3 linked regions of the Ovis aries genome follow. The protein of the gene in region 1 interacts with the protein of each later gene in a pairwise test. Links are inferred from orthologs where the notes say so. Each region holds a gene or a part of one and is shown on either strand. Other genes may lie near its edges. The genes, in order: PRKCI, PARD6G and PARD6B.

What was found.
Region 2: the proteins of PRKCI (region 1) and PARD6G interact in binary tests that used the Homo sapiens proteins (3 or more experiments, as listed by UniProt). The link is inferred for Ovis aries from reciprocal best matches to the Homo sapiens genes PRKCI and PARD6G.
Region 3: the proteins of PRKCI (region 1) and PARD6B interact in binary tests that used the Homo sapiens proteins (3 or more experiments, as listed by UniProt). The link is inferred for Ovis aries from reciprocal best matches to the Homo sapiens genes PRKCI and PARD6B.

Annotation. Positions count from the first base shown.
Region 1 is NC_056054.1:217,796,945-217,800,588, forward strand, and holds part of PRKCI (protein kinase C iota type), read right to left. Parts: intron 2,935-3,644; coding exon 2,880-2,934; intron 1,874-2,879; coding exon 1,815-1,873; intron 1-1,814.
Region 2 is NC_056076.1:517,904-522,051, forward strand, and holds the start of PARD6G (partitioning defective 6 homolog gamma), read left to right. Parts: upstream 1-1,299; 5' UTR 1,300-1,496; coding exon 1,497-1,568; intron 1,569-4,148. UniProt on the Homo sapiens protein: Adapter protein involved in asymmetrical cell division and cell polarization processes. May play a role in the formation of epithelial tight junctions. The PARD6-PARD3 complex links GTP-bound Rho small GTPases to atypical protein kinase C proteins.
Region 3 is NC_056066.1:78,706,182-78,710,446, forward strand, and holds the start of PARD6B (partitioning defective 6 homolog beta), read left to right. Parts: upstream 1-1,389; 5' UTR 1,390-1,605; coding exon 1,606-1,671; intron 1,672-4,265. UniProt on the Homo sapiens protein: Adapter protein involved in asymmetrical cell division and cell polarization processes. Probably involved in formation of epithelial tight junctions.

The sequences.
Region 1 (3,644 bases):
TAAAAATACCCTTCAAAATGAAAGTGAAATAAACACATTTTCAAAAAAACAAAAAATAAAGAAATCCATCACTAGTTGTTCTCACTAAAGGAAACACTGAGTTTTTCAGGAAGATGATCTCATACGGAAGCAGACACACAGGAAGGACACAGAACAAAAAGAATAAGATGTGGATAAACTAAAGCAAGGACTGACTGTTCAAAAACACTAACACACACATGCAGAATTTTAAAATAGGACAGAAAAGGCACTAAAGCCAAGAAGTGAGCATGAGTGAATTTAAAGTGCCCTAAGGTCCTTGCATATCCTGGAAAATGGTAAACATATTATTAATAATCTGTATTGAATTTAAGTAAGTTAAGGGTGTAAGATGCAATCCCTAGAACAACCAGTAATAAAACAGCAAAAGAATGTCAAACAAACTAAAAGAGATACAAGAAACTGAGATAGGAGACTAAATAGGTAACCAACAGATGTGCTTCAAAACAGTGCAGGAGTGAGGGAAGTCAAAGTCGCTTAGTATGTCCGACTCTTTTTGACCCCATGGACTACAGCCTGCCAGACGCCTCTGTCCATGAAATTCTCCAGGCCAGAATACTGGAGTGGGTAGCCGTTTCCTTCTCCAGGGGATCTTTCCAACCCAGGGATCAAACCCAGGTTTCCCACGTTGCAGGCAGATTCTTTACTGTCTGAGCCACCAGAGAAGCCCAAGAATACTGGAGTGGGTTGCCATTCCCTTCTTCAGGGGATCTTCCTGACCCAGGATTGAACATGGGTCTCCTGCCTTTCAGGCAGATTCTTTACCATCTAAGCCACAGGGAGTGAGAGTAGCTGGTAGACAAAACATGTACAGACAATTGTTTTAACTGGGTAATGGACACAGGGGGTTGTTACAGTATTCTGCTTACTTTTACTGATACTTGACATTTTCCGTAATAAAAAGGTAACCCAGAGTAAAACATAATACACTTATCAAACAATGGAAAGGGAAGGAACCCGCCTGCCAATGCAGGAGATATAAGACATGGGTTTGATCCCTAGGTGGGGAAGATCCCCTGGAGGGCATGGCACCCCACTCCAGTATTCTTGCCTGGAGACTCTCAGGGACAGAGGAGCCAGGTGGGCTACAGTTCGTAGGGTCGCAAAGAGTCGGACACAACTGATGCGACTTAGCACAGCACAACCCAGTATACTAGTTTAAACCTTTTGTGGCCAGAAGTATATAAAGTTGAAAAACCTGAAAAAGAAAGGGATAAACACATGTGGACACAACTAGAAAAGATTAAAAAAGGCTGTTTCTCAGAAGTCAAAGTGGGAGTGAAACGTGTGAGGCATGCTAAATCTTACCATAAGCTTTTTTAAAAAAATTGGTTATCACTTTAATTCATAATTTTAAATTAAACTGTTTGAAAAACTGATAAACTGTTTAACAGTCAGAAAAAAGATGGGCAGGTAAGATGTTTAATTATTTATACTTCAAATAAACCATTAGTCCATAAAATGGAAGGATCGAGATTTTAAACAATACTACCAAGTATTCTGAAACACCATTCTTAAGTATATTATAATTTTTAGATTACGCTACCTTAAAATGAAAATAAGTTATCCCACCACACCAGACTATTTAATTTAAATGATTTTAGTAATTTAATTAACAAAGAAAATCAGAATAAAACTCTAGAATCATTAAAAATCATCCCTGTATTTTTCTAGTATGACCTAAAATTTAAGCAAGTCAATCTGTCACGTTTTTAAAGTGTCACATGCTATTAAAAAGCTGATGACATAATATACCATAAGACTAATTATCTTACCTCCTTTTCTTCACCAACTTGGTCCAAACTCTCATGACTTGAAGGATTATACGGAATTACTAAAAACCCAATCCCAAACATTTAAAAAAAAAAAAAAGAAAAGAAAAACACAGTACACATTAACTAAGTTAATCAAAATTTTTTCATTTAATTTTTCTTACTTTTAATTTTTCAATAATTGTTCATCATTTAAAACTGAATATCTGTCCTATTAATAACAGATTATACATAAATATCAGTTAACTTCTAATCTCTAATGAGGGTAAAGAGAATGAACCAATCAATAGCCACTACTGATTTTAACAAACACTTTTGCTATTTTAAAATATATTTTTCTTCTTTACAAATTCCTTTTAAAAAGGTAACCCTCTAAACCCTATTTAATTATATTAGTATGACTGAGACATAAGAGACGGAGGGTCTCCAGTTTAGACTAGATTGGACTCTAGGCTTCTATTCCTTAAAGCAGCTAGGGCCAAAAAGCCTACATTTCATATAACTAGCTTCTTCCATGAAGAAGATGCCACATTCTGTCCTTCTAGAAAAAGTCCCTTTTTCTTGATTCACCCATCAGGCTGCTATGTCCCATGTAATTGCTCTCCAAATTTCTCAGAGACATACTAAAGGTTTTGTATCTACTAGACATCTGAACTCAAACGATCTTTTTTGAATTTTCTATACAGCATCTCTGTATCTTTTACATCATTTCTTCATCTCATAATAGAGTTTTATTTTAAAATGTCACTTGAATAGAGTCAACAGTCCACAAAATCAATATGTCTTCATTATTGAAAAAAAATAGATTTGGTATATGAAGAGGTCTCAAAGAATTTTATCGGAATTAAAGAAAACAGTCATTTGTTATAGTTTACATAGCTGTCTTTTTAAAATGCCAAACATATATGTTAAATACTGTGATTGATGTTAAATCCCCAAAATATGGTTACTTAGCTTTTATTTGGGAAGAATCTAAATGCCTTTACATTTAGGGGAAAGAGTCACATAAGGAAGTCTTTAGGTGACACTTTGCTAATGAGCAACGGTTTGCGCCACTGTCATCCTTACCTGTCTGTGCATGGTCTGAGTGCATGGATGACTGGTCCATGGGCATCAGTGGTTCCTACAATCATTTCCAAAGACACAGTAACTTAGTGGACTCTCTTTAAATAGCAATACTTCCATAAATCCAGGAACAATATCATTTTGATGAGACATAGCATATTAAAATTTAAATTTGAAATGTAACTTAGTAAGGATTATATTACTATATACAATTTATTTTTCATTGTATTACATGAAACAACACAACATTCCTGTGAATGAGGTGATGCCACATTTTACAGATTGCAGAAAAAACACAAAATTAATTTCAGTCCCTTTTAAATCCTTCTGCATTTATGAACTCACACAAGTCATTCCATTGACTAAGAATACTCAAGAATATATCAGTAATCTGGATAAATTTTTTTCACAATTTCTGGCTTTCTGCTGCTTGTTAAGATTGGCTTTCAACCTCTCTAACCATAAAGCCATTTGTAAACTTACATGAACTAGCTAAATAATGCTACTACCAATGAGCTACCAGTGAAAACATACTTTCACAATGTCCAGAGTAGGTACTAAGAATAAATATGTTATAATCATTCTAAAACAGTGGTCCCCAACCTTTTTGGCACCAGGGACTGATTTTGTGGAATACGATTTTTTCACAGACCCAGTGTGTGAGGGTTTTGGGATGATTCAAGCTCATTACATTTATTGTGCACTTTATTTCTATTAATATTACATCAGCTCCACCTCAGATCATCAGGCATTAGATCAGGCATTAGG
Region 2 (4,148 bases), on another chromosome or scaffold:
CACAATATGTTTGCATTAGTTTCGCACTCTATATATACATAGAATGTTCTGAAATTTTGGAGAGGCTATATTTTTGTTCTAATTCTGTTTTTGATTACATTTAAAACCATAAGTTTAACTAATACATCCCTCTGTATGTATAATTAGCACGTTTGTATTTCTTCTTCCTTTTTCTCCTGTGAATTCAACTAAGAAAAAGTGATATATAATCTACTGAATTGGGTTGTAAATTTGTGTAGCACGCTTCACAGAACTCTTGAAGCACCTACTGGTCCTGTGTTCTTGGCTTCATCAGAGATTCCTCAAGAGCGAGGATTTCGGTTTCCGCAGCCCCGCTTCCAAGAGCGCTCTAGACAGGAAGCACCCACGACATTGCTCACACCTGACGATGTCTTTCTTCCGTTTCTCGCTTCTGCCAGCCCTGGCAGAAGTCTTCCTTCTCATCAGACAGGCCTATGGGTGCTTCTGACCCTTCCGAACCCTTTACCTTTGGCCTGTGCTAGACTACGCCTTAGGATGTTGCCTCCGTGCAGAACCTCTGCCCAAACCATCTACCACCTGGCAGCTCTAACGGACAGATGGACCCAAGGGGGTCAGGCTTCCGTGAGTCCAGTATCACCCAAGACAACGTTGAAAATCAGCCAAAACAGACCCCTTTCCTGGACGACGGGAGGAGGCTAACAAAATCTTGGCGGAAGCGAGCAAGGGAGAAAAAGTGTGGACGTCCCGGGCGAGTCAACCGGGCTTCTCTCCCCTGCTCTTGATTTTGCGGACGGGAGTGAACACCCACCCGGCAGCGGCGTCCTCGGGGGCGGGCCCGTGGGCGGGGCTCGGGGCGGGGACTGGCCGGGGGCGGGCCGACGAGCCCTGGGTGGGGCGTCGGGTGAGTCCTCGGGACGGGGGGCGTGTCCTCCAGACTCGGAGGGTGGGGCCTCAGGGCGCGAGGCTGGGCCTTGAGGCTCGTGGGGCGAGTCCCCGGGATGTGAGCCGGGTTTTCTCAGCGCCGGGCCAGTCCTTAGGGAACCGGATTAGCGGCGGGTCTACAGGGCGCCGAGCGGGACGTGGGCCCTTGGGGCTCGTGGGGCGGGTCCTCGGGGCTCCGGGCGGGTCCTCGGGGGACGGGTGCTCTGGGCCCGGGGCGGGGACTGGCGGCGGGTATTCTGGGCGCTGGGCAGGGATTGGTGGCGGATCCTCCGGGCTCGGGGCGGGACGTGGGTTCTAGGGTATCGGGGGGCGGGTCCTTGGGGCGGCGCGCGCCGCCGTACCCCGCTCCTCCCGCGCGCGGCCCCTTGAGTGCCCAAGGCGCGCGGCCAGCCCTGCTCGGGCCGCTGCACTCGAGCTGCCCCGCGGCCGAGCGAGCGCGGGCAGGGGCCGGGGCCGGGGCCGGGGCCGGGGCCGGGGCCGGGGCCACGGCGGCGGGTGGCGCACCCAGGGTCCTTCTGCAGTCCCCATAGCGAAGAGCGAGGGCGAAGCCAAGGCTAAGCGGGGCCGGAACCATGAACCGGAGTTTCCACAAGTCTCAGACCCTGCGCTTCTACGACTGCAGCGCGGTGGAAGTCAAGAGCAAGGTGAGCCGGGGGCCGGCAGTCTGCGCACCCCCCCCAACGCCCCACGAATGAATGGGCACCCCGAAGGGGACTGGGCGGCGCGAGAGGGGCCGGCGCCGACCACAACTTCGGAGCGCGGCGCGCGTCCGTGAGATGCGCCGGGGTCCCTCAGTCCTTCCCGCCCCTGCGCGCGCACAAAGCCCGGCAGCCCGGTAAGGTTCGGCTCGAGCCCCGGCGCTCGGAGGGCCGCGCGGCCGCCCGACCCTTTGCGAGAGTGGCTCTTTTGTTCCACAAGCCGGCGGCGATCCGGCGCACCGCGCGGTGGAGGGGCGATGTTTCCGGGGCGACCCGGGGGCTGATCGGATTCGGGGCCCTGGAGGGGCCTTGGGGGCCCGGGCCGGGGAAGGGCCCTGGCTGCGCCGCCTCCTTCGCAGCGGAGGAACCTTGGAACCGGCGAGGGGGAGACACGCAGCGGGTCCTCGATCCCCGGACCGGACCCCCAGTCCCCAGCACGGCCCTGCATACCAGCCCCTCAGCCTCCCGACGCGCCCCAGGCCCAGATTCCCCGGGCGCGCCGGACCAGCGGCCCCTCCCGCTGCCCGCGCCCGGGCCCAAGCGTGCCCGAACTTGCGGGTGGCTGTGCGCTTTGGATAATTGGCTGATAGGATCTGGCGCTTCTGCCCGTTGCGGGGGCGGCACCTTCGCGGCAGAAGCTTTTGTCTGCGAGGGTCTCAGGGGTGGACCTTGCCGCAGATGAAGAGCAGCAGTTGTTCGGGGTCCTGGAGGAGGGGGCCTCGGGCGTACCGCTGCCTGGGATCGGCTTTCGCCCCTTCTCTGCGCTCCCCCCGCTCGGCGCGGTCAGGCAAGGAGGAGAACCCCAGTGGTGGTAGACGGGCCAGACCCGAGGGTGGGCTCTGACCTCCAAGTCTGTGCACACTTGGTCGCCGGCGTGTGTGTCCTGGTTCGCTCTCTGGGAAGACTAACCCGATGGCCCCTGTCTGGGCTGCCCGTACCAATCAAGGTGGGGTCCTTTGACATAGGATTTGCAAGGCTTCCTCCGAGGATGGGGGTTCTCTGCAGGAGTCCCACAGAATGAGTTGTGGGATTTCGTCACATCTTGTTGGGCAGTCTATTTATGAACCCTCATATCTAATTACCTCCAATGCTAATTCTGTGACCCTGGCCCAGCACTCATCTCTTTTTAGCCCCAGAACTCCCCACACCCCCAAATCAAAAGTGACCTCTGTGAGTTGTGTGGGGGGGAGGAACCAACAAGCCTGAGTGGGAGCACCAAATAACTGACGTTTCTTCAACTCAGTGGGAATGTGGCTTCTTAGAACTCATTGTCCCCTGACAATAGCCACTGAGCACCCATGGTGTTTCACTTTAACTATTTATTTTGAGATCATCATAGATTAACAGGCAGTTGTGAGAAAGAACACAGAGGCTTCCCCACAGGTACCGTCTTGTATCACAGTGTCACATCCAGGGCCTTGCGGTGTTTTCAGGTCAGTTTGTCATGCGTGCGTTCCTGAGGCAGTCTCCACGAGGACCACTTCCATCGCGAGGGGACCTCCTGGCAGCCTTTCACCCCTGCAAGGTGGCTGTTTGGTTCTAAGTGATGAACACCCCAGGCTGTTCACGAATCTCGCTGGCCGAATGCCCTGGGCTCTGCAGCCATGGTGGCAGGCAGCTGCCTGACCAGATGCAACTCCGGAGGGCTAGCCCTGGAGGAAATGCCCTCACCAGCCTTTATCCTGCAGTCGTGCGCTCTGGACACGGTGGACCCCTGAGGCCTGAAGAGTAAGAGTCTGCCTTTGCCTCTCCCAGGGAACTGGGGGCCATAGGTGTTCTGGTGGCCCAGTGGGTTACCTCAGGCTGCCCCTCCTCCTTGACCCCCAGTGAAGAAGGAGGGCTGCCCCATGGCCCGAGCCTGGGTTCAAGTTCAGATGCAGTGACTGCTCCACCAGGGGTGAGTGGCAGAGGGGCAAAGTTTTGGTTGAATTTGGGAACAGTCCTGGAGGGCCACACCAGGCTGGGCCCTGCTGGGCTGGCTGGTTATACACACAACACCACCGCCCCAGGCCCTTTTCGATAAGGTGGTTTGTCTTACTGTCTGTCCAGTGGGGCCACCTGGCTCCCCCTTCTGTACCACTCTGTCACCCACCCACGGAGTCCATCTCTGCAGGGAGCCTTATTCCAGCTGCTCTTGTCAAAATATGGGAGGCAAACCATTATGACAGTGATGTTTTTATCCAATCTAAATGGTTCACCATAACACCTGGGTTTGCATGTGAAGAAAAATCGTGCCAAAATCCAGCCAGTTCTACCACCCAACCTTGTGAGCTTTCAGACAAGTCATTTAACTTTTCTGAGCCTTAGTTATTTCATATGTACAATGGTCATTGAACCTATTCTGGTAGCCCGACAGGATCAAATGAGGCAATGAACGGTAAAGCACCTGTAAACTGCAGGGCACCCACAGTTGTAAGAGCTAAGCCTTGCAGATCAAGACTCTGTGGCATTTCAGGATATCAGGTCTGAAAATTGCCTCTGATCCTCTCAGAATTGTTGGTGTTAGCCCTCTGCCACAGCTGGTCA
Region 3 (4,265 bases), on another chromosome or scaffold:
AGGGCTGGGAAGGAGGGGTGCCCGTGTGAGGACGGATGAAGGCAGGGACGGGGCGAGAAAGGCCCAGGGCGCTCTAGCCGAATGCAGCACCCTAGCCAGCTGTTCTTGGCCATTTCAGGTTAGAACTGCCCTCCGCAGGCCCAGGTCCAGCTCACAGGAGAGTTCTACAGTTCTGTGATGAGCCCCTCTGCAGGTGGGTGGGGGGCTCTGGGGCTCTCCTCCTCACCACCCCAGCACTGCCAGTGCTGCAAAGGATCCCTGAGAGGAAAAACTCGGCTCTGAGCATTTAAAGAGAAGGATTCAGTCTTCTGTTATCAAGAACATAGCTTGGTCATTCCACAGGAGGGACAGACAAAACACAAGCTGGCGGCTGTCACTGGTGGACACAGTGAATAGCCCAGAAATGGCTGGAGGGAGAGGAAGATCCTCAAAGGTTAAACATAAATTTAAAAGACAAGGGGGGCGGGGAATCCCTGGAGGGCCGATCTAGAAGTACGGACCTTCGAGGATCCATCCCCGGCCTTTGCCCATTTCCCAGCCCTCCCAGCGCCTACTCGATCCCACGGGACCTGACTGGACTGCAGAAAGTCTCTACCAACGACATTAAGCCAGTAGAGCCCTGCGATTTTTCTCCAGTTACTGTTACAGAGGCGGGAAAACTGGAATTTTGCAATCCGAGTTGCAGCCAGACGACTAGACGCAAATGGGTGACGGAGGGGCGTTGTAGGAGGCTGCAGCATCCCAAAGTGGAAGGCGGTGCAGAAAGCCTGCAGCCCCGCAGCGCCCAGCAACTAGCCGGGAAGAGTGCCCCACGCCCCGGCGGAGCGCGAGCTCCAGCCGGGTACAGAGCAACCAGGCGCGCGCCCGCGCGTGCGCTAAAGGCCCACCCATCCCAGCGCGTCTCCAGGTGCGCTCGCGCTTCCGGCCGGCCTTCGCTGGGCGGAAACTCCAGGACTCGCGCATGCGCTTTGGAGCTCGCCTGCGGGGTCCGGAGCGCCCCTCCCGGCTTCAGGTGATCCCACCCCTCCCTCGCCGCGCGGGACCAATCGAACGGCGGCAGGCGGGCTTTTCGAGCAGGAGGCCCCGCCCACGCGCGGCGCGAGGCGGGTACCGATTGGTTGGCGCCGCGGGCGCAGGTGCGCGCTTCCCATTGGGTGGGGGCGGAGCGCGGGCTGCCGAGGCTTCGGCGGAGGCTGCAGGTGAGCGCGCGCACGCGCCGCGGCGGCGGCCCGGCCCGAGGGGAGGGAGCGCGCGCGCGCGCGGGGCCGGCAGCCGAGAGCGAGGCTGCGGCGCGTGTCCCCGCCGCTCCGCCCCCTCCGCCGCCTCCGCCGTCGCGGCCGCCGCCGAGGCCGGGAGGGCGGGCTCCGCGTCCCCGCCCGCCGCGCCGCCAGTCCGACCCTCGGTCCTGCAGCGTGAGGAGCCAGCCGAGCGGGGCCTGGCGCGGAGACGCGAGCCGCGGCCGCCCCTCTGCAGGTGCCTGTGAGGAGGAGCCCGGGCCGCCGCCGCCGCCGCCGCCGCGTCCCGAGCCCGCCGGCCGCGCACTCGCCCCGCGCGCCCCCGAGGGGCGGCCCGGCTGGAGGAGGCCGCCGCGGGCCCGGCCTCAGGATGAACCGCGGCCACCGGCACGGGGCGGGCAGCGGCTGCCTGGGCACCATGGAGGTGAAGAGCAAGGTGCGCGGGCCCGGGCAAGCTGGGGGCCCCCGGGGGCGGGGGGCCGCAGTGACCGGGCCTGGGGCCCCCAGGGGCTGGCCGGGTGTATGGGGCCGCCGGGGCCGCGCTGGGGGGACTTGGGGGCTGGAGACGGTGGGGAATGAACTTGCCGAGGATTGGCGGCGGGGGGCCCTTGTGTCCGCTCCCGCCCCCAGGTAAGGCAGGAGCCCCACCGAGCGCTTAATCCCCTTCCGTGAGCAATCATTCCCCTTCAAGGATGGGAGTCAGGCCCAAGGCATACCCGAGGATGGGGGGGCATTTGAGCGAGCGCAACGTGGTACGAAAGGTTTGGAGGAATTCTGCCTTCTGGCATGTGAGTAAAGAGTTTGAAACATCCGTAGTCACCCAAATGTAAAAGTTAGCCTTTGCTTCCTGTAGGGATTTTTCGAACACGAACTTTGGTATGCATTGAATCTTGTAAAGTGAACACTGTCACCTTTCGGGTGAGTGGCACTTAGCAGTTTTGAGTTTGGATGCCCTTCTCATTCCATCCTGCTACTCTTTCAGGTCAAGTGTTTTTTCCCTCTTGACCAACGGTATGCCTATCTGCCGATGACAACGTGTGGGTATCCTCTGAATTCCTAAATTGCAAGGCTCCCTGAGCAGGACAGTGTATCGGGATTAGTGAGGGAATGCTTTCTAAGGGAGGTTTTGAGCTGGAATTTGAAGACGATCGGCAGCCCCAAGAACATTCTCAAGCAAGCATTTCATGAATTGAAGAGCCAGAAGGGACTTAGATAATCTAGTCTGATTCTCGGAGAAGACAGGGGCTCAGAAAGGTTTTGACTTCAACAAGCTCTGCTTTTTATGACAAAACCTTAAAGCCCTTTTTACAAGATAAGTTTTAGGCCTTCTGGAATACTAAAGAGAGCACGCGGAGCTGAGCCCCCTGAACGTTTAAAATAAGAGTTGGAAAGATCAAGACACAGGGAAGAGTAGGAGAAAAGGAAAAGCGTATTAACTTCAAAAATAATGAAACCTTACTGAATATAAGATAACAGGGATGTGGTAGAAGGGAGAACGCAAAATCAAGGAGTGATTTTCAGTGAAGGAGAGTAAGGAAGGCTCTCTGGGGTAGAAGGGTTTTTATTATCTGGAGTTGATAAGTGAAGTCCTGTAAGTTGCCATAACTGAGATCTGCATTCATTTTTAACATTTTAAGACATCATTTTCAACTTAACTGGTATCACAGTAGGTACTAATTTCAAAAACCCTTCTGCTTAATAAGAACAGAAATATAGCAGGTTCAGAAATACACTGTCTCCTGTGTCCTCCATGGAATTGCCATGGCAAATTGAAGTGACATGCTTGAACTAAGAGTTAAGATAACAAAATATATAGCGAGTTTTTCCTCTAGCATATAGTGGTAGTAGTGGTTCTGTGGCCAATGGTTGAACCTTCTCACAGCATTTCTGTTATAAATCTAGTTTGGGTTTGTGGGAGTTGAGGTTAAGGAAAGAAAAACACGATATTGCGTAATCTTAAAATTCAGTTTGTGGTCCTAATCTTGGTAGCAAGTCTTTAACTTTTTATCATAGGAAAAAAATGAGTAGGGATTCTAGGTGCTCTGATTAAATACAGTCAAATGGTAATTTATCTTTCAGATTAGGAAACCTTGAGCGTGTAGGGACTAGAATTTCAGGCTTTCCATGCTTCTCTTCTGTCAACTGGTTTGTGAATCTTTCCCACACTACCCATTATATATTTGGCCTGCTCTTCTGGTAAACCGTAGCTCTTAAACAGAATCAAGGGTCCCACTCATTCTAGCTGCTGATCAGTAGGCACAGGGGAAGTACAGTTTCCAGTGCGTCTCTGACACCTTGTGTTTTAACTGTACATTTATTTTTAAGGGGTTAAAGAAAAGCACTTGACATCTTCACCATTTAAACAATATTTGGACAGATAGGTGGAACAATATGTCCATTTTCACTGCTTTGGTGGTAATATTACAGCTTTTTACAAAGTTGATAAGGAAGAGGTTGTGACCCCAACTCTGTGGTATGCAGATCCACATTTCAGGATTTCTTTTTCTTCTACATAAAAAGCAAGTTGTCAACGTCATGTCTTTGCTCATGGAAGGAGAAAATGCTACAAATAAAGTAATGGATCATGCAAATATAAGTATAGTTAAGTTGTGATACCAGTTACCATGTGACTTTTCTTTACAGTAACTTTCTGGTAACATTTATCTTCCTGTATCTATAGAGTTGAGAGAGCTATTAATAATCAAGGAGATGTCCTTCAGCAGTCTTGGATGTCAAAGACCTGGAATAGTCATTGAGCTGTACATTTCCTGGTTATTATTCATGGGGAACCAATACTAAAATCAAGTTTACATTTCTAAAGTGTTGTACCTAAAAATGCTGGGTGATGGGTGTCCATCCCCATGACCAGGCCAAACTAGACCAGGCTAAAAAAAAGTTTGAATAGTTGTTGATTGAGTCTTAATTTTATCTCTATTTTTGTATTTTTTTTCACGTGGTAAAAAGTTCTCTTAATCCTGTTGTGCTGCAAGAATCATAACAATTTCTCTTTTTTTTCTGCTAACTTTGCAA